Linked DNA regions of Tamandua tetradactyla. The protein of the gene in region 3 purifies or fractionates together with the protein of the main gene of each other region. This does not show direct contact. Links are inferred from orthologs where the notes say so. Each region holds a gene or a part of one and is shown on either strand. Other genes may lie near its edges. The genes, in order: MAP1S, RASSF3 and STK4.

Evidence for each region.
Region 1: the proteins of STK4 (region 3) and MAP1S purify together in Homo sapiens (affinity purification with mass spectrometry; 3 studies listed by BioGRID and IntAct, with this or other methods). This does not show direct contact. The link is inferred for Tamandua tetradactyla from reciprocal best matches to the Homo sapiens genes STK4 and MAP1S.
Region 2: the proteins of STK4 (region 3) and RASSF3 purify together in Homo sapiens (affinity purification with mass spectrometry; 5 studies listed by BioGRID and IntAct, with this or other methods). This does not show direct contact. The link is inferred for Tamandua tetradactyla from reciprocal best matches to the Homo sapiens genes STK4 and RASSF3.

What each region holds. Positions count from the first base shown.
Region 1 is NC_135337.1:96,482,844-96,490,124, reverse strand, and holds the start of MAP1S (microtubule-associated protein 1S), read left to right. Parts: upstream 1-4,092; coding exon 4,093-4,222; intron 4,223-5,056; coding exon 5,057-5,158; intron 5,159-6,247; coding exon 6,248-6,330; intron 6,331-6,826; coding exon 6,827-6,967; intron 6,968-7,243; coding exon 7,244-7,281. UniProt on the Homo sapiens protein: Microtubule-associated protein that mediates aggregation of mitochondria resulting in cell death and genomic destruction (MAGD). Plays a role in anchoring the microtubule organizing center to the centrosomes. Binds to DNA. Plays a role in apoptosis.
Region 2 is NC_135333.1:132,455,574-132,462,762, reverse strand, and holds the start of RASSF3 (ras association domain-containing protein 3), read right to left. Parts: upstream 3,057-7,189; 5' UTR 2,875-3,056; coding exon 2,764-2,874; intron 1-2,763.
Region 3 is NC_135327.1:7,195,812-7,202,859, reverse strand, and holds the start of STK4 (serine/threonine-protein kinase 4), read left to right. Parts: upstream 1-4,004; 5' UTR 4,005-4,032; coding exon 4,033-4,091; intron 4,092-7,048. UniProt on the Homo sapiens protein: Stress-activated, pro-apoptotic kinase which, following caspase-cleavage, enters the nucleus and induces chromatin condensation followed by internucleosomal DNA fragmentation.

The DNA.
Region 1 (7,281 bases), on a different chromosome or scaffold from region 3:
CAGGCTAGAGGTGCAGAAATCGAGGTGGCGCCTTGGCTCCAGGGCACAGACCTATGCCCCATGTGGGCTAGACCAGTGTTAGTCCAATCTCGGTGCATCTGCAAACAGGCCTGGGGGAGGTCTTGCTGGGGAGACCCTGGCTGTGTGCAGTGCCAGCTGTCTACTCGGGGTGCTATTTGTGGCCAGTCAGTCCAAAGTCAAATGGTAAATCACAAAAATAACTTGTGGGGGCTCCAGGCTGCACACTCGGCATGTTTTAATTAAATCCCATAATGACCCTCAAAGATGGCGGCTGTTGTTATGTCCGTTTAAGAGGCAGAGAAACCAAGGCACAAGGAGGTTCCTATGTCTGGGACCCCAGGACGCCTCGCCCCTCCTCGGGAACTGGCACTCCCGCGCTGAGAGGCCCTGGCGGGTGGGGGTGGGAGGCGATGAGCCCATGCCCACAAGGTGGCGAGGCCATGGGCAGGCAGCCTTCCCACGGCCACTTGGGAACGCCTGGCGCTGCGAGAAGAGGGTACAAGCGCCTAGAGGGGTATGAAAAGGCTAAAAACAGCTTTATTAGCCCCAAACTGGGAACATTCGAATGTCCATAGTGAAAAGCTGGTACCCGATGTTCACAATTAAAAAGCCCCAAAGCCACGCGTGGGTGTGGCTGCGGTGGGACGGCCTGGGTGCTGTGCTGTGTGGAGGGGGTGGCTCCTTAAGAAATGGACCACATGAGAATGGGGAGAAATTCAATTTCTCTAAGTTGAACTCTTGATATTCCCAAAAGCAGTGTGGACAACCAAAGCTATAGGCAGAGCCCCCAGTCTTGGGGTTTGTTCATATAAAACTTAACCCGGCAAAGGATAGGTCAAGTCTACTTAAAATTCAGGCCTAAGAGTCACCCCCAAGAGAGCCTCTTTTGTTGCTCAGATGTGGCCTCTCTCCAGCCAACACAATGAGCAGTCTCACCACCCTACCCCTCTCTACGTGGGACATGACTCCCAGGGGTGTGGACCTTCCTGGCAACGTGGGACAGAGATCTTGGAATGAATGGAGACTCAGCATCAAGGGATTGAGAAAAACCCTAGAATGAGCTGAGACTTAGCATTAAGGGATTGAGAAAACCTTCTGGACCAAAAGGTGGAAGAGGGAAATGAGACAAAGTGTCAATGGCTGAGAGATTCCAAACAGAGTCGAGAAGTTATCCTGGAGGTTATTCTTATGCATCAAGTAGATATCATCTTGTTATTCAAGATGTAATGGAGAGGCTGGAGGGAACTGTAGAGCTGTGTTCCAGTAGCCATGTTTCTTGAGGATGATTGAATAATGACACAGCTGTCACAATGTGACTGTGTGATTGTGAAAACCTTGTGTCTGATGCTGCTTTTATCTACCTTGTCAACAAAGGAGTAGAACATATGGAATAAAAATAAATAATAGGGGGACCAAATGCTAAAATAAATTTAGTTTAAATGCTAGTGATCAATGAAAGCAAAGGATAAGGGGTATGGTAGGTATAATCTTTTTTTTTTCTTTTCTTTCCTGTGTTCGTTTTATTTCTTTTTCTATTGTCTTTTTATTTCTGTTTCTGAATTAATGTAAATGTTCTAAGAAATGATGAATATGCAACTAAGTGATGATATTGTGAATTACTGATTATGTATGTTGCTTTATTTTGTTTCTTTATTTTTTTAATTAATAAATAAATTTAAAAAAAAGAAAAAAAGAAATGAACCACAGAGCTGCGGGACCAGCCATCCCACTCCTGGCACAGAGGCAAAGGGACTGCAGAGGTCCTGCAGGCCTGTTCACAGACGTCCTGGCGGCATCAGGTGGAGACCACCCAAAGGTCTGGCAGCAGAAGGGAGGGCAAGCACATGTGGGCTCCACACAACGGGGTGTTGATCAGCCAGAAAAAGGACTAACTCGCGGGGCCCCGGAAGGCGAGTGAGAGCCAGGCCAGGTGCTGGGGCGGGGACGGGGTCGCCGGTGACTGCTGACTGGACGGGCTTCCCTTGGGGTAGCAAGAATGTTCTGGAACTAGTGGAGATGGGTGCTCACTGCTGTGAACGTAGCTAATGTACCAAATCGCACTCTTTACGAAGGCTGAAATGGTTAATTTTATGCTAGGTATACTTTGCACAATACAAGAAAAAACTTCCAGCGATGCTCACGGTGGGAAAAGGAGCAAACGTCCACTCCTTGTGCACCCAGGGGCCAAGATGGCACACCCAGGTGCACAGTGTGTGTGGCCCAGGTGTGTGAGGTCTGCAGCCAGGTGGGCAGGGGGTGCCGGGGGAAGGGGTCCTTCCCTGCAGCCAGGGAGGCCAAGGTGCGGCTGGGCTGGGAGCACCCACCTAGGCCCTCGCCCTCCTCAAGCACCTCCCCTGACCCCATGGACGCCATGGCTGACAGTCCAAAGGAAACAGGATTGCTGGGGCCGGGCTTTGCTGAGAGCTTCGGGCATCCCTGAGGGCCTCTGGGCCATGGGCATGGGACAGGGGTGGGGGGGCGGGCAGGAGCACTGCTCTGAGCTCTGTGCTGGGGACTTTGAGATGGGCTGGACCCCAGAAGCTGAAGGGGGTGCTGCAAATGGGTCTCCTGGTGGAGACACATCTGAGCACCGATTAGAATTAATGCCAAGGTCACAAGCTATAGCCTCAGGCACAGGTAAGGGCGTGGAGTCCAGCCAGGTGGTCCTAGGTGCAAATTCAGACCCAGTCAACACCCACGGAAAGCCCAACTGGCGAAGGGACAGTAGACAAACCCACTCTGAGCTCCTGCATGAGGCCAGGGACCCAGATGGCCTCAACCGGACAAGGGCACAGCCCGGCACAGATGCTCCCCCCCAACCCCCCATCACCTGTCAGAGTAATAATCAGGAAATCACAGGCCCTAGGACATGAGTACAACTCGAGGAAGGGCGCAAAGGAGGAGGGAAGGGATATGGGAAGGATACCAGGGCGCAAAGGAGAGAGGAAGTCAGACGGTCAGACTCTAAGTGGGCCCCCAAGGCCGTTACACACTTGCCAGGCAGGAAGTCGGGCTGAACAACCCAGAGAACAGGAGGCTGATGCTGCTTTGCAGAATTTCCCCATCTCTGACCCGCTATGCTTTGGATACTTCCATAAATGGGAAGCTCGCTCCCAAAGAAGATAGCCCAGCCCTGCCTGGACACAGCCAACTGTCCAGAGGTTTACTGTAACAGGAGTGGTGGCCATGGACGAAAGGGCCGGACACGATTGTTTGGGGGAGGAAAGGGGGAGACTCAGGAGCCAGGCAGGCAGTGCCACAGGCTGGGTCTGGAATTGGACTGACCTGGATTGGAGTCTTGGCCCTACTGCTATGTGCCTGGTGACTTGTCTCTCCAAGCCTATTTCTTCTCTTTTGAAATGGCCATAACTGTGCCTACCTCATAGGTCTGTGCACATATTCGAGGAGCTGAGGTAGTACAATGACTGGCACACAGAAGGTGCCAAATAAGTGTGTCACCCTGCTTCGGGGCTACAGTGATGTGGAGCAAACGCCACTGTAGTTTCCTACCTCTGAAACTTTCCACGTGCTCTAACTTCCACCTGGCCATATCCGTACTCCATCAGTCACACCCTCCCCACGCACCTACCGAACTCCTATGCATCCCGCAAAACCCTAAGGACAAGATGAATTCTCTCTGGTCAAGTCCTGAGTCCGGGGGCTGGGAGCATCTAGGCTGGGTTCTGATTATCCCACAGTGATGTGATGTGAGTTTCCGAGGGCAGGGACTCTGTCTGGCACGCGGCAGCCACAGGGCCAATGCTTGCTGAATCAATACACGCATGAACGAATGAACGGTCAGGTGGGCGGCACAAGGCGGAGACCCAGAGCCGGCCAGCCCCTTTAGCGGCGCCCCATCCCCAGCTCCCCACAACCTCGAAGGCCCAGGAGGGGGCAGACAAAGGGGCAAGGTGGGGGCACTTCCGGGCAGAGCGGGGGCTGCAACCCACCCGTCCGGCGCCTTTAAGGGGCGGGACTTGCGCGCGGAGCGCCGCGTCCGATTGGTCGTGGGTGATGTCACGCGAGGGGGGGCGGGGCGGAGCGGCGCTCGGGGTTCGGGGCCGCGCGAAGATGGCGGCGGCGGCGGCGGCGGCGGGGCCCGGGGTGGCGGCGGTGGCGCCGAGCTCGCTGCTGCTCGTGGTGGGCGGCGAGTGCGGGCGCCCGGGACTGCTGGCCTACGTGCTGGACGAGCTGGAGCGAGGTCGGGCCCTCGGGCGGGGACGCGGGCGCGGGGGGACGTGGCTGGGGGAGGCGGACACGGCCGTGGGGGCCACGCCCGGGGCCTGCGACCCGCGCGATCAGGCAGCCTGGGCCTTGTCCCCGCGCCCCGCCGAGGCCCTCCCGGGGAGCGCGTGTGCGCCGCCGGTCCCAGCCCCCAGCCGCCCAGCGCCCCGGACCCCGCGGTCCGCCAGGGGCCCGGGCGCCCACCCGGCTCAGGCCGCCTCGCCTGCAGCGCAGGACCCACTCGGCCGCGGCGGGGTGGGGACAACGTCGGGGCCTGGTGGGCAGCTGGGAATCCCGGCCTGGACCGAGAGCAGCTAGGGCGGCGGGCCTGGAGCCCGCAGGGCGCTCTTTTCCTCCCTGGCTGCTGCGGGGACTGCTAATTGGGGCGTGGGCCGGAGGCCTGCGGGACCTGGCAGCCGGCAGATGAGTCACGGGTACACCTGTAGGGTTCACCTGCTATCCTGGCACTGGTGCCGTGAAACTGCACGGGGGCTGGGAGCGATGTCGCGCCCCCTCCCGGGGCCTCCTGTACAACAGAGGGGCGGTGCACACCTGGCGAGGTGTCCGGAGCACCTGTGCTGAGCTCTTGGCTGGGTAGAGGGTATGGGGTACAGTGACAGGTGGGCCCCAAAGGGCTGTGGCCAAGCCCAGGCCTGGTGGGGTGGAGGGGAAGAGGAGGCAGGGGAGAGGAGGCAGGGGAGAGGGCCACATCTGAGTCTGAAATGCTGAGTCTGGGCAGGGGCCCATGGCACTGCAGGGTAGGTGGAGGAGGGGGCCTGGGATACCGGTTGACCCTCACCCCGTCCCCCAGGCCTCCGTTCCTGGGACGTGGACCCCAGCATCTGCAGCCTGGATGAGCAACTGAAGATCTTTGTGTCCCGGCACTCAGCCACCTTCTCCAGCATCGTGAAAGGTGAGGAGGGGTCCCTGCCTGCCCCAGCTCCTCCGGGGTGCCAGATGTGAGAACAACGGGATAGGAGCCCCCATAGGGCCCCCTCCATCCTCAGACACCCCAAGGCCCCCGTTTACAGATGAGGAAACCGAGGTGTGAGGGCCCGGAGGAGAGGAGGGGGCCTGTGGCTGAGATGCAGCGGGAAGGGCTTATCCAGTTGATTGGTGGCCCCTGGGGCTGAGTGTGGGCCCTGCAGGGGCAGGACCTGGTCTGCTTCACACAGGGCCTGGTATACAGTAGGTGCTCAGCAGTGGGGAGCCAAGGAGGAGCATAGTAGAGGCCGGGGGCTGCCCACTGGGGCCCACGTGTTGCCCAGAGGCTCCAGCTGAGTCACTCCTGCCTCTGGGCAGGGAAGGAAGTGACCGCAGCCCCATCCCAGCTGCTTCCTGAACCCTTGCAGGGGTGAGGCTGGGCATTCGGTCCGCCTGTGGGTTGCAGGGCTGTGTACCCAGGCGGTACCTCGGTTTCCCACCTGTGAGCGGGCTGTGTCCACACGTGATAAGTGCGCATGGTGTGCAGGAGCTAGGGGCAGGTGGGTGGTGCCAACTGGACACAGCTCCAGCCTTGGCCTGGCCCGCGAGGATCATGCCCGGGCTCTGGGGACACAGACCAGGGCTTGGACTCACCACTTTCGTGGCTCCTGATGTCCTGCAGCCCCTATCGGCTGCTGCCCTCGCTCCCTTCTATGCCACCTCCCTCCCCTGGGGCCTCTGCCTCGGGCCCTTCCCTGGCACCTCAAATGGGGGCAAGTGGCCCCCTCAGGGGTTTCAAACAACAGACACTCACCACAGTCCCGGGACCCAGAAGGCCAGGGTGAAGGTGCACAGAGTGGCCATCTTTCCGTGTGTCTGTCATTCTGTGTCCTTAGGTTAGGGGTGGCCCTCCAGTGTGGGGACCCCATTTCCCGGTAGAGGCACAGGGTGGGGGTCCTGACCTGACTCTGGGGCTGGGGTCCAGCCTCATCCCCACCTGCAGCCCTCCTGTGGGGGGGGGGGGCTCATTAACCGGGTGTTCCCGGTGGCCCCTGCCCATGGCCCGGCTCCCCCATAGGCCAGCGAAGCCTGCACCACCGTGGGGACGCCCTGGAGGCCCTGGTGCTCCTCAACGCGGCCGACAAGTCCCTGTGTGAGGAGGTGAGGACATGCGGGTGGGCTGCCAGGACCCCATCCTGGGCCCCCACCTTGCTCTGCCCCAGATCCTCTCCCTACTCCCAGGAAGCAGCCCTGATGGCCCCACCCAGCCTCCCCCAGGGGGTAAAGGCAGTTCTCTAACACAGGCCAGACCTGACCAGCATTAGCTCCCAGCCCCCTTGGCTAGACGTGCTTATCCAGGCCCCCAGCTGTGGGCATCTGGCCTCTTAGAGGGACAGCCCTGGGCAGCCACTGGACACCTTTCCCAGGTTCACTCCTTCTGCTACCTTGAGAGCTTGTGGTCCGGGGGAGAGAACATCAGTACTGGGTCGGAAGGAGCTAAGGAGGAGCAGGGCCTTTGTAGGATGAGCAGGAGTTTGCTGGGGGGTGGGGTTTGGAGGTCCAGAGACTGCTTTCTCCACACAGGGTGGGGACGGAGGGAATGATGGGGCTGGATGCCTTCGTGGGGCACGTACCCTAATACTGCGCCCCTCTGCAGCTCCGGAACCTTCTGCTGGACCCCGCCCCTCACAAGCTGCTGGTGCTGGCAGGGCCCTGCTTGGAGGAGACAGGGGAGCTGCTGCTACAGACCGGGGGCTTCTCATCCCACCACTTCCTCCAGATCCTGGAGGATAAGGAGGTGAGGGGCCCCCACCTGTCTCCCTGTGCCCTCCTGGTCCACAGAAGTTCACCCTAAGTCAGTGCCCCCCTGGGGGATGGGGTGGCCCTGGATTGGGTCCACCCCTCTGGGTTCGCAGTCTGCTTGGGGAGGCAGGGAGATGGGGGCGATGGCAGGGGCCGAGGTGGGGGGTGGAGGGTGCAGGGCAGAATGGGAGTGGTGGGGGGTGGCCCATGCAGTTTGGATTTGGCTGGGCCCACCAGCCCGGGAGTCCCCTAACCTGCCCTCCCACTGCAGATCAGGGAGCTCCTGGCCTCCGGGCCCCAGTTCCCCAC
Region 2 (7,189 bases), on a different chromosome or scaffold from region 3:
ATTCATTCAACTAGTGTTCACTGAACAACTACCATATGTTAAGCATTTGTCAAGGCACCAGATATACAACATAAAAATGACATTCAAACTGCCATAAAAAGCCTGGCATGGCAGGTGAGAAATTCTACCACTGAACTACTCATGCACAATCTTTTTTTCTTAATAGAAAAAAATATCAAAATAAAATTAAAAGCAATGATAACATTTTCTTGTGTGTGTATATAAGGTTTCTGTTATTGTTGGAGACAAAAAAAGTTGGGATACATTTTTATTTGGCAAAAAAAATTTATCTCCACCCCCACCCTTTCTCCCCATCCTGCCTTTACCACAAACATCTCGCTTTCTCTTGATATTTTCAAGAGTTCTAAAAACCACATTTTCCTAGCTTTTCCACCAGGTGGTATGACACCAAAAAAAAATCACTATTATGTATAATAAGATTGTTACGATGACACCTTTTCTACACTGCTTGTACAAATTGCTTATTATCTTATTTCTTTATAATTACCACATAATAAAATAAAAACAGGCTTACCTACTCTTAGGTAAAAGAAATGTTCCAAATTAAGGGTATCTGGCTTTATATTTACGGTAACTCATTTCTTTAACTAAGAAATGCTATCAGGAATAATAGATTCACTCAAGTCACTTCTTTAAACAAACCAAAATACCAACCTAAGTAAGATTCAGGATTCATAATACTTTCTCCACCTGGCAAATAAGTCCTATCACTCAGAACCTTGCATGTGTTAAATTAAAGGGGAAAATATGCAGGCATTAAAGCTTCAGATTACATGTACTTATCTCTTTAAGCAAGGAATTAGGTCATACCATCCCAGAATTTCAAAATACATATTGTTAGACTAATTCTAATTGTTAAATGAAAGATATTATGACTATAAAGACGTTAAATGAATTATTATATAAATTAAAGCATAACATAGAAACAGTGTGTGTGTGTGTGTGTGTGTGTGTGTGTGTGTGTGTGTATAAACCTAGGGAAAAAATGGATGTTTTTACTTTTTAAAGCCCTAAAGGATTCATGAGAATGCATGGAATTGCATGCGCCCTTATGAAGTAGCCTCTTATTTAGGAGACTCCCAAGAACCAGCAAGTTTTCTGTAAATTACAGGCCACCTCGGGGATAGACTTCAAACTACAACCATCTCCTACAACTGCATGTCAAATGGTAACAGCAACATTTATTGGAAGGACAAAACGCAGAGCCAAAACAGGAAAGAAATAGAAGGGAGGAAAGAATGGGCCAAGAAAAAGAAAAAAGCAAAGTGAAAACAGCACAAGGAAATGCAATTCTTCCATAACCGATTGGGGAAGGAGGATGTTTCTGGCTTCCAAACTTCACAGCAATCTCATATCATCAGAACACAGTCTACTGAAAATAAGAGATCACTCAAAGTGACTAGTAAATTGTGCGACCTTAAACCTCAGAAACAATAAAGACCGGGAAACTAAGGCACCGGGACTTCACTCTGGATTAACCGTTCTTACTGAATAAGGGCGCTCGACTTCACTTTTGCACTCTACTCTCTCGCTCTCTCTTTCTCTCCCTCTTTGGTCTGGAACTCAAAAGGTTGAAAAGACTAGAATTTTCGAAACTTCAAAAGAAATCTGACCTCAGAAAGAGGTCAAATAAAAGATCTGGTAAGGAAACCCTGGCACAACCCCCACCCAGCCGACCAACTCATTATCCGGGTCCTGGAAAGATTATTTGTTATTATTAATCTACTCACTAGGACTAAGGCTGTTAGAAATGTTCGGTGCGCGCCTGTTGTTTTTTAAAAACAATTCTGTTCCAGTTCAGCCTTCCCTAATCTGATGTAGTACCGCTGGGCTGGCGGCGCTCCCTGGTGCGGCTCCCAGGGCCAGGAGGGAGCGGGTTCAAGCACCACCCTTGCAAGTCAGCCCAAGTGCCCCAATTTGGGAAGACCTCCCTAAAAAACACTAACGGTCGGCGAAACCCGTCCAAGTTCTGTCCCAACTTTTCATGCTTCCCACGGCACGCTTCCTCCAAAAAAGGAAGAGAACGCCCTAAATCTCAGCTCTCGAGCGCTAACATCAACCTAACACCGGAACTTGTCTGTAAAACATTCGCGACTTCTACGAACTTGGCTTTACAAGAAACGCACAACTCTGACTCCCGCAACCACCATTTCTTGAGCGCCTACTGTCGTCAGGCCCCGCACGTCCCTCGGCCTCCCCAAGATGAGCCCGGACCGGGAAGAGAGGGGCGGCAGGCTCACCGCAGCCACCTCTGGCTATTACACGCCCCCACCCCCAAGCCACTCAGGGGATCACTAAACGGATCAGGAGTGGCGGTCCGCGGGCCGACCCGACTATTTATCCACCATGGGCACAGGGGAAACGCCAGAGCCGCCTCCTTGCACTCGGAACTGCTCCCCCGTAGACAACTCGACGCCCTGGCTTTGCCAGGAGGACGGCGGCCCCGGGCAGCCCCCAGACGGAGCCGCGAAGGTCATCCGGCGCTGAAGGCAGAACCCCGGGAGCCTCAGCCTCCCGGCCCTTCTTCCTCCTTCCTCGCCCAGGGGCCCCATGCGCTCACCCTCACGCCCACATGCACAAGCTTAAGGCACGACCCCGGGATCCAAAAAGGATGAAGCCACTTCTTGGCGGCCTCCTTCCAGGCGTGCTCAACGGAGGCACGTGGAGTTTCAGGGAGACCCGGGCGGCTGGACCCCCAAGAGGGATGGGGCGCGACCAACAACCGCGGCGCACGCCACTCACTTGTTGGCCGGCGCGGGGCTTGCCCTGGGGCGCCCTTCTGAAAAAGGAGGTTCTGGCGGTGAAGAAGAAGTCCTCGGAGTCCTCCTCCAGACTGCTGTAACCGCTGCTCATGGTGCTGGTCCCGTCGCGCGCGGCAGGCCTCCCCGGGGCGCAGGCGGCCAAGCAGGGCGCGCCGCGCCTTCTTAACCTGCAAGGTTCCCGGCGCCGGGCCGCGAGGCGCCGGCGGGCAGTCCAGCTGCAGCTACGGCTCGGTCCGGCCGTCCGGGCCCTCCAGCAGCCTAGCCGCTGGGTTCCAGGCGCGGCCCCTGCCGGGGTGCGCCCGCGGCCACGCCTCCCGGAGCCCCGCCCCGCAGTCCGCCCGCTGGGGCCGGGCCACCGGCTCCGCCCCTCCCTTCGCCACCGCAAACACTCCCCGCGCGGCCGCAGGTGGGGGCTGCACAGCCCGCCCCTTCCAGGCGGTGCTTTTTCCTAGCAGGTTTTGTGTCGCCCGGCAAGCCTCCTTCGAGGGCTGCGTTTGGTAGGTCTGTGCTCTGGGTCGCTTTTCCAACCTCCCGGAAACTGCCTAATTCTCTGTGATCGGCCCGCCCGCCCCTCACTCCGCAGGCCCGGGTTTAGGGGAGGGCCTGAGCAGAGCTGGGAGCTTTCCCCTCGGTCCCCGCCCGGCTCGCTCTCTTCCTGGGCCCTGCGGGTGGCGGTGGAGTTGTCTGGCCGAGGGGTCCCGGTCCTGAACCCGAGCAGCTCGTTGTTCCAAGAGGGCTAAAAGTTATCGGAGACTGGCGAGTAGCTCTTCACTAGATTGGGTTTATTCGAACTAAAACGTCCTCTCTAGTGATTCAGTCGAGCTTCGGAATTTCCCCGTCCGCCTTCTCTCTAGCGAGGGGTCACTCCCCACGAGGACGGCCAAGGTCATTATGATCTTGGAGCCACGTGGGGCAAGGGGCTGGGGTCGATGAGCTAGCTATCTAGTTAGGGAATGTTTTAAACAATCGTGTGCTTTTTAAATGTTTCCTTCCAGAATCAGCCTTATACAGTCCCCTACAAGAAGACATGGCTTAAGTGGGGGCGGGGGCATCAGTGAATTGTATTCAGCCAGCGTCCTTGTGAAATTCTACTAGATGGCGAATCATCTTTTACTTTTTTTCGCGAGGGGAGGGTGGGGGTAGTGTATGGGCGGAGAATCGCGAATCATCTTTTAAAATGCACAATCACCCTCCAAGCCACCAATGGGTACCAGTGATTTACACCTTGGCGCATACTGAACTGGTTTAAATCATACTAATTTCAGTATGTACAGATCTGAAGGTTGTTCCATTGCCTCAGGAGTAAGGAAACTTCAGGAATGGGAAAGAAGAGAAGAGGAGGGTTAGAAAGAAAAACTTCACCCGTTATAGCTGAACTTCCTCACATTATCTCCCTTAATCCTCAAAACAGCTCTGTTAGTTCTATTTTCTGTCTCCTTCACACCTGGGGCAGCGGATATTTAGCGAGAGGAAGGTAGCCCTAGGTAGCAGTACTGGCATTCTCTCTGCTTTCAGCTGAGCTGAGGGTCTTCAAGATATCCTTACAGGCCTTAAGATTGTTGGGTAGTTAGCCATGCTCAGTTGTGGCATGGCAGCACGGAGAGAAGTAGAATGGGTCAGGAATCATTTATCCCTTTAGAATGGCTGCTATTAAAAAAAAAAGTGTTAGAAAGGATGGAGAAATAGGAACACTCCATTGCTGGTAGGAGTGTAAAATGGTGCAGTCCTTATGGAAAACAGTTTGGAGGTTCCTCAAAAAGCTAAGTATAGAATTACCATATGACTCGGCAATCCCGCTACTAGGTGTACACCCAAAAGAATTAAAAGCAGAGACTAGAACAGATATTTGCACACTGCTGCTAATAATGGCATTATTCACAATTGCCAAAAGATGAAAACAACCCAAATGTCCATCAACCAATGAATGGATAAATAAAATGTAGTATATGATACAATAGACTATTATTCAGCTGTAAAAAGGAATGAGTTGGGTGCACGGTGGTTCAGTGGTTGAATCCTCACCTACCATGCAGAACTCCTTATTTCTGTTCCCAGCCCATGCACATCCTCCCTGTCCCCCCCACTCCCCCCCCCAAAAAGAATGACGTTCTTATACATGGGACAACATGGATGAACCTGAAGCCATCAGGTTGAGAGAAATAAACCAGACACAAAAGGGCAAATATTGTATGATCTCACTAACTTAAAATAATTAGAATAAGCAACTGCTAGAGTTAGAATCTAGAATAGGGGTGGGGAAAGGGAATGGGAATTTAAGGCTTAAAATGTACAGGGTTCAAAAAAAAGATAAAATGTACAGGGTTCCTATTTGTAATTATGGAAATGTTTTGGTAATGGATGGTGGTGATGGTAGCACAGCATTGTGAACACAATTAGCAGCACTGAAATAAACATACATCTGAATATGATTAAAAAGGGAAATGTTAGATTGTATATGTGATAACAGAATACAAGTTAGAAAAAAAATCCACGGAGCTACATTACATGGAACCCTAAGTTAAACCATAGACTTTAATAGTAGAGTTATAAAAATGTGCTGTCATCAATTTTAACAAATGTTTCACATCAATGCAAGGTGTTGATGTTGGGGTGGTGGTTGGGAATCCTATATTTTAAGCATGATTGTTCTGCAAAACCACAACTTCTCTAATAAAAAAAATTTAATAATTTTTTTTTTAAGTCAGTTATCCCCAGTTTAAAAGAAGGCCTCTGCTTTCCTTTATGCCCTCTCACCACATCCATCTTGGAAATTGGTATATTACCCTACATGGTTCACAACAACTCTATGAGGCCAGCCTTACAGAACAGTCATTTTAAAGGTCCCACAACATTAAACCCTTCCTGGCTGCACAGCTAATGAGTGGTTAGAAATCAGGAATTCTAACCAGGGCATTGTTTTGCCCAGTCTAAACTAATCCCTGGGTGTGCCATGCACATAATCTCATATAAAACAATAGGGCAGTTTTCTGACTTTATGAAAGATTTTTCTTATTTGGTGCCATTTTTTCATTATTTCATGAATGTAATCCTTATTAAATACTCCAATTTATGAGTGATATACAGGTTAAAGAATTTAGATATCTAATTTTAACATAACCCAAATTGAAGGAGGCGAGCACAGTCTCAAAACTGAGGGCCATGGTCCAAAGGAACCAGAGCAGTAGAGAAAACTGTTTCTTGGTGGTTTTAGCTTTGAAACTATGGATGATAATTTAAGAGAATATTTTGAGAAATGGGGCACACTCATAGATTTAATAGTGATGAGAGACCTCCAAACAAAACATTTCAGAGGCTTTGGTTATGTGATTTACTGTTGTGTTGACAAGGTAGATGCAGCATTGTGTGCTGGACCATGCAAGCTTGATGTGCGTGTAGTGGAAACAAAGAGAACTGTTTCTAGAGAAGATTCTGCAAAACCTGGTGCCAAACTAACAGTGAAGAAAGTTTTTGTTGGTGGCATTAAAGAAGATACAGAAGAATATAATTTGAGAGGCTACTTTGAAAAGTATGGCAAGATTGAGATCATAGAAGTTATGGAAGATGGGCAGAGTGGAAAAAAAAAAGATTTGCTTTTGTAACTTTCAGTGATCATTTTATACAGTTGATAAAATTGTTGTTTAGAAATACCATACTATTAATGGGCATAATTGTGAAGTGAAAAAGGCCCTTTTTAAACAAGAGATGCAGTCTGCTGGATCATAAAGAGGTCATGGAGGTGGATTTGGCAACTTTGTGGGCTGTGGAGAAAACTTTGGAGGTGGGGAGAACTTTGGTGGAAGAGGAGGCTGTGACGAAGGAGGTGGTAGCAGCAGAAGTAGTCATGGAGGAGTTGATGGTGGATATAATGGATTTAGAGGTGATGGTGGCAACTATGAAGATAGCCATGGTTGAAATAAATGAAATTGAGAACATGAAAACAATTGAGAAAATCAACAAAACCAGAAACTGGTTCTATGAGAAAATCAATAAGATTGATGGACCTATAGCAAGACTGACAAAAAGAAGAGAGAGGATGCAAATAAATAAGATCAGAAATGGAAGAGGAGATATAACCACTGACCTCACAGAAATAAAGGAAGCAATGACGGGATACTATGAACAACTTTATGCTAATAAATATGACAATTGTAGATGAAATGGACAACTTTCTAGAAAGGCATGAACAATCAACTTTGACTCGAGAAGAAATAGTGACCTCAACAAACCAATCACAACTAAAGAAATTGAATCAGTCATTAAGAAGCTCCCACTCAAAAATGGACAGCACAATAATACCTAATTGTAATGTAATTATGTTAAAACACTGAATGAAGCTGCATCTGAGCTATAGTTTTTTTTTGTTTGTTTGTTTGTGTCTTTTGTTTTTTCTTTTTCCTTTTTTCATA
Region 3 (7,048 bases):
CTTTCTGCAGATATTAGTGTGACTTACTCTCATTAGTCCATCTCTGCTCAAGTACTGCCTCTTCAGTAAAGCACTCCCTAATTCCTTTACCTAAAGTGATACCTCTGTTCACTTTCTACACTTCTTACATTGATTTCTTTCTTTCCATAGCTCTTTTAATAGCAGACATATTACATATTTGCTTTTTGTTTATTGTTGATCTTGCCAACTTGAATGTGAGACTCATGAGGGCGGGAACTTTTATCTATATTGCTCACTGCCTGGCACATAGTAGCATGCTTGGCCCAGAGAAGACACTCAGTATATATCTGAATGAATGAATGACTGTCCCAGCTTTCTCAGAGAAGCTTTCCTGATCCTTCCAGGGGTGTAAATCTCCTTGGCAATTTGGGACAGGACTCCTGGGATGAGCTGGGACCCACATCAAGGGATGGAGAAAGACCTCTTGACCAAAAGGGGGAAGAGAGAAATGATACAAAATAAAAGTTTCAGTGGCTGAGACATTTCAAACAGATTTGAGAGTTTGTCCTGGAGGTTATTCTTATGCATTATATAGGTATTTCTTTTTCATTTATGGTGCATTGGAGTGGCTAGAGGGAAATAACTGAAACTGTTGAATTATGTTCCAGTAGCCTTGACTCTTGAAGACAGTTGTATGACTATATAGCTTATACAGTGTAACTGTGTGATTGTAAAAACCTCCTGTGTGATGCTTCTTTTATCCAGGATATGGACAGACAAGTAAAAAAGTAAGGAAAAATAAACAAATAATAGGGGGCAATAAAGGGGAAAAAAAATTTGGGTGGATTGAAATACTAGTGGTCAATGAGGAGGGGTAAGGGGTATGGGATGTATGAGTTTCTGTTTTTTTTTCTCGAGTGATGCAAATGGTGAAAAACTGATCATGGTTATGAACACACAGCTATGTGATGATATTGTGAGCCATTGATTGTATACTGTGGATGGACTGTATGGAGGTGAAAATTTCTCAATAAAAATATTAAAAAAAAGTTTTTCAGTTGAACTAGCCACATGTAGCTTGTGACTACAGGTTTGGATAGCACACATACAGAACATTTCTATCCTCACACAAATTTCTATTAGACAGTGCTGGACTGGATAATCTGTAGAAAAAGAGGGCCATTCGAATCTTGGTTCATCTTCTGAAATAATCCCAGGAAGTGGACAAAGGAGGAATGTTTGTTTACAACCATGTACTGGCAAACTGACATTTATTTTCACAATTCATGTTACCGAATACCTTCTCACGTACAGGGATGCCTGTTATGCTGTGTGGGCAAGCTTATGATACAGAACTGACCAGCAAGGGGTAAAAAATCCACTTACAGCAGGGCCTGCACATAAGATAAAAAATGTGCTTTGAGAGAAGGAAAGGAAAAATGCTACAGGATTTCAGAAGACAAAGGATTGACTCCTTACAAGAGACTTGTAATGCCCTCCTGAGCATTGTACAACTCTCCTTGATTCTTCCTTTCTTAGGACTCCACCCGCCACTTGTACAAATTTCTGATAGAGCAATGTGGCAAATAAAACACGGAAGCTATGGAGTCAGGACAGTCCTGGATTGAAACCTTTGCTCTGACTAGCTGTGTATATGTGAGTCTCAGAGTCCTCACCTATAAACTACAGATAATTCTTAGGGTTGTTTTGAAGGTTAAGTCAAAAGTCAGGACAATGCCTGGCTCAAAGTCGATTCTCAGTAAGTTTTTTTTTCGCAAATGGCCTCGCAGGTGAATGGTTCCATTATCTTAGGTGTTGTTTTGTAGATGGTATCCCTCTGGGATAAGGAAAATTAAAACCAGTGAGTTTGCTCTAGATAATTTTTTTCCTGTAACCTTCCCCACTGGGAAGAATCTGCCATTTTCCTAACACTCACTGATAGTGGTGGCAACTGAGGATTTTGACTTGTCATAGCTGGAACTGGAGCTCCAAATGGAGACGTCTTGCTCAACCAGAGGATAGACATTAGGGTTTTTCCAGTTTAGTGGTGTAGGCTCTGGAATCAAACCGACCTGGACTGAGTTTCCAAACCTCTACTTTTAACTGTGCTACCTTGAAGCAAAATATTTTACTTTTCCGGGCTTGCAAAAGGAGGATAATAATAGTATAGCGTCGTTAGGATTAAATGAGCTAATTAGCAAAGCGCTGAGAATGCTGCCAAGCACTCTTTGTCAAATAATTATTTAAATACATAAAAACGGGGATAACTTTAAGACCTTGATGGATTAAATGACATTAATATGAAAGCAGGCACATGGCATGTGCTGAAAAACGTTAACTATTTTTGTGTCTACAAACTGACTCAAAGGCGAAGCTAAGAGAGAGGGTGGGGCAATTTACAGGCTGTTGTTCTGTGACAACAACGAGTTGATGTGCACAGTCCAATCCCCATCTGGGACAAGATCTGGAACAACAGGAGGAGCATAAACCTTTTCAGGCACTCCTGGAGGAACGCTGCCCACAACGCGCGTAGAACTTGGGTTGTTAAGAACCGACAGTTCTTAACCAGTCGGCGCTTCGCAAAAAGCCTCAATATCTCCGTCTGAGAAATGGGGGGCCAGCCCCGGACAGAGATGAGGTCCCAGACTGGAGCCCGAGCTGCGCGACAAAAGGACTCGGTTAGAGGGTCCCCCCGCCCCCAGCTCCGCCACGTGACTCAGGCCAGCGCCACGTGACCCACGCCCGGCTTCTCCGGCCTGGGCCTCGGCGGCTCCGCCCGGCTCGCGCGCGGCGCGCTACTTCCGGTAGGGGCGGAAAGCGGAAGTGTGGGAGGGTCTGCGGGGCGGGCTCGAGGCGGCCCGGGGGGAGGATGGAGCTGTGAGCGGGCTCGGGCGGCTGCCGGCAACGCCATGGAGACGGTGCAGCTGAGGAACCCGCCGCGCCGGTGAGGGGGCACTGGCCGAGAGGAAGGGTCCTGGGGGGCAGGGAAAAGGTGGGAGCTGACTGAAGGGAGACGGCTGTGTGGAAGCCCGGGAGAGATGGGATCTGCGGGGGTGAAGCGACTGGACTGATGGGGGCACCCGCTGAGTGGGGGATCTCTGGGGGCTGGGGTTCGGCGGAGGGGCCCGCCCGTCGAAGGGGAGAAACGTGGGACTGGCCAGGGAGAGCACTTGTGGGGGACCTCTTGGGAAAGGGGGTGGAATCTCGCTGACTGGAGCACCTGCTGAGGGCGGGGACCACTTGGGGAAGGCTAGCTAAGAAGGGACTTAACTGGGATTGGGGTTGGTGGTGGTGGTGGAGGTACTGAAGTGGGATGCGAACCTCTGAGGAATCTTTCTAAAGGTACCAGCGGAGGGGAAGACCGGGTGGACTTTCTAAGGGAGGGGAGAGAGTCCCACCTGGGGAGTCGCGTGTCGGAGCTATGTTGAGGGGAAAAGCTTGCGCCTAAGTCTGAAGTGTGAAGAAAAGTCTAGCAAGAGGGATGCTCTTAGTGGTGTCCTGTCCCCACTTTAGGGTGATGACGGCATCAGTCATTCCTCAGATCCAGAGTGCTTTCCTAATTTTCCTCACATCCTCTTCATCCCTTCAAACCCCACTTTGGGAGATAGATTAGGAAATAAGAGGATCTTTTCAAGATGAGCAGTGTGAAGCCCAGAAGAGTTGAGACACAGTTCTAATTGTTTCCCTTTTTGATCTGGGTCCGGGTCTCTGGATCTGGTCTGACTGTGCTCTTCTCAGGCCTCTACTGTTTTGTGACTATCAGCTCCAGATCTTAGAGATACTTGGATTGTTTTAGGCCAACATCAGGGAGGTGACTGATCAAGTCTAACATCTTGGGTCTGGTTGCAGTTTTATTATTGATTTGCTCTGTGGACACAGGGTCTTATGCCACTCTCCTGTATCTAGAGAAAAGTGGGGAGTAGAGACTGAAAGAGCCATGCTTTTCTGAGGTGCGCTGTAGTTAGCTTTTATTTGGTAGAGACCTCTGACTTCCTGTAGCATAAGGAGCGCTAAAGTAGGAAGTGCTGAGTGGGTGGGCCAGTGAAGAGGTGAAAGAAAGGGATTGACAGCATGGGCTGGAGTCTTGGGGTCGATCGAAGTGCACAAACATTGCAGAAGGCAAATAAATGGTTGGGATGGATTCATAATTCTCTCTAGCGTAGTGTGCTGTTATAAGGATGATTCTTACCCCCTTATACTTGTGTGGACTGTATGAAATTGCTGACATTTGATGATTTTTGACCTATAAAAATGGAAATTTCGTATGGTTCAATTTATTACTAATTCATTTGATCCTTATTACAATTCTGTGAGGTGGATATCCCTAGCTCTCTGTTTTATAAATGATAAAACTGAGGCATGGAGGGATTAGTGATTGCCCGAGGTCCTGCAGTCAGTGGTCGAGCTGGGGTTTTAATCGAGGCAACCTAGTGCAAAGTCAGAGCTTTTAACTGCCTCACTCTGCTGCCCCTCCGGAAATACCCTTGTTTCACAAGCCTTATGTTAGCAGATATTTGCTATAGCATGGTAGCAATCCATTTATTATTGTATACTGGTTATATGTATTTTTTTCTGAAATGTGTGTGCTCTTTCTCTTCCTTGAGTCAGTGAGGCCTTGGCTTAATTGAAAAAGGATTAGGAATCTGAATTTCTACTCTGCTTTGTGTTGTGTAATCTTGGGCAAAGGAGTAAGCCTATTGCTTTTTGACATCAGTGCTGATCACTATGTCCATTCCTGTATCTTTTGGATTAAAAAAAAATTATCAAAAATGCAACAGAAGAGCGTTGCAGGACTGAGTTCTTGATTGATTGGCACTTTCCTGCTTATCATAACCAGTGGAGTGCCTAATTTGCAGTAGCTACATTTTATTGTCATTTATAAAAATTGTTAGTTAATTTTGTATATTTGTTGTAACCGACATCAAATTCTTTGTGGAAAGAAGGATAGGTGTACATAAATAAAATACCCCTTACAGGAGATCTAAGATGGGAGGTAGAGGTTTGAGTATTAGCCAAACTTGTGAGTGACTACTTCTCAAACACCCTTATTTGTGTTTGGAAAGGGGTCTTTTCGGAGATTCAGAAGGTATGCATTGCAGGCAAGGGGTAGCAACCCCAAGGCAGGAAATGCTTTTTGTGTTCAAAGTTTGACATTTGCATGTGTCTGAGTGAATGATGGCAGATTGAAAGTTATTGTCCTATATAGGAATTAATGATTTTTAAAGGTGAGTTACCATTAAATAATGATGGTTTGATGGATGGTGTAGAGAGTTTTCCTGGGATGCTGGGCACCCACGAAGCCTTCTGACTTAGGAGAGGACCACCCAGCCGTATCTGGCCCATGGAGACTGTGCTGGCCAGACCGCTATCGTTTATGAGCCAACATCGAAACTGCCTAGTACCTGGGAAGTCCCTATTGAGGCAGCTGCATCTTCACAATTGGGCTGTTTGGGTAATATTACTTAGACTCATGGTAGGAAATTACATTGATTCACTTATCAAAGTATTTTTTTTTAGAAATCTTATTAATTGATAATCCAGTAATACTTTTTTAGATGAAGTTCTGTTTTATTTTGAAAACTCACAGCTTGTTGATAAAGGTTATGATTCCCATCATTACACTCAGTCCATTTAGTAAACATCTATTGGTCACCTTTTGGTTACCAGGCACCAGAGATATAACGGTCCCCTGAGTTCAAGTTGTTTTAAATAACCCTAGACCAAAAACACACTAACAAAAAGCCACTTGGATTTTTTTTTAAATGGATTCTGAGCAGTCATATAAAGTTTGTCTGTCAGTGTATTATTGGAGGCTTGCAGCTATTTCTCTCGTGGCAGTGGCAGTTTCCTTTGTTATGCTGTGGTCTCTGTAGTAGTTGAAATAGTGAGTTTTGCTTTTTGTGACCACAAAGAGTCAACATTCAAAGGAACACATGAATCTGCCTTTAGATAAACTGTTTATAAAACTTTAATCGTACTTAAGAAATGAGGTATTGTCCATTGTTTATATAATTATAATTTAGGGCTTCAAAAAACACACAAGACACAAGGAATAAAAACTAAATGACTGGCTTATGACATGTTCGTTCTAACTTATGATTTCATAGAAATTTCAGTTCTGAAATTTAAGAGTAGTTTCACATCAGTCTTTTATGTTTTGAAACTAGGAGTTTTTATGATATCATTGGAATTTAATTTTTTGGACCTTTTGATTTTCAAAGGTCAGCATGGTCGTTTTGTTTTGTTAAGTTTGAGGTTAAGGCAATTATTGCTTGGAGCAGTTCTCCATTTCTCTAGTACCTAGTCCTTGATATAAAATTCTGTAAGACTGTCCTTTTAAGATCTATGCTTATTGGTAGATATACTTGATGTGTTCGGATTTTATTGCCTTCTCTTCTGGTTTTGCTATTTCTCTAGGAAGTTACATATTTGTGTGTGTATGTGTATATGTACATATATGTTTTTAATTCAAGTCTTATCAGAATTGATATTATCCAACTAGTTTAAACCTTCTTCTTTACAAAGAAATCTACAATGTGACTACTTCCATGTTTCACCATTTCCCTACTTCACTTTTCTTTGTTGTCCTTTGCAGTTTCAGGAAGCCATTGTGTAGAAGAGGCACATACACATACACACATACACAGATTCCTTAGCAAGCTCCTTCTTTAAGCCTATTAATAATATAAATATAAAAAAAAAACTGGATGTACTTATTCTGGGCTTTGATTTTCACAGATCCCAGAATTTAAAAAAGTATGTTTGTATGCCTCCCATGTTTGTTATGATTATCTAGCTTAAACAGAAAAATCTTGAATTACTGTTGGAGGTTGTAAGGTGCCCTTTACCTTTGTTTTTTGAAACTAGTCAAAGGTACATGGCTGCTCATTGGAGGATTTTTGTGAGCTAGTTTGAAACTTCCATGTGCCTATTATTTTTCACATCTTTTCCCAAAAGTTAGTTATGTCATTTGAATCATAGAATCTTAATATAAGTGGGCTTTAAAGATTCTCTCTCATGCTTAAATCCACTCTGTAGCATTTCAGCCACGTGTGATTCATTTTCTGTTTAAATTCTCCAGTGATAG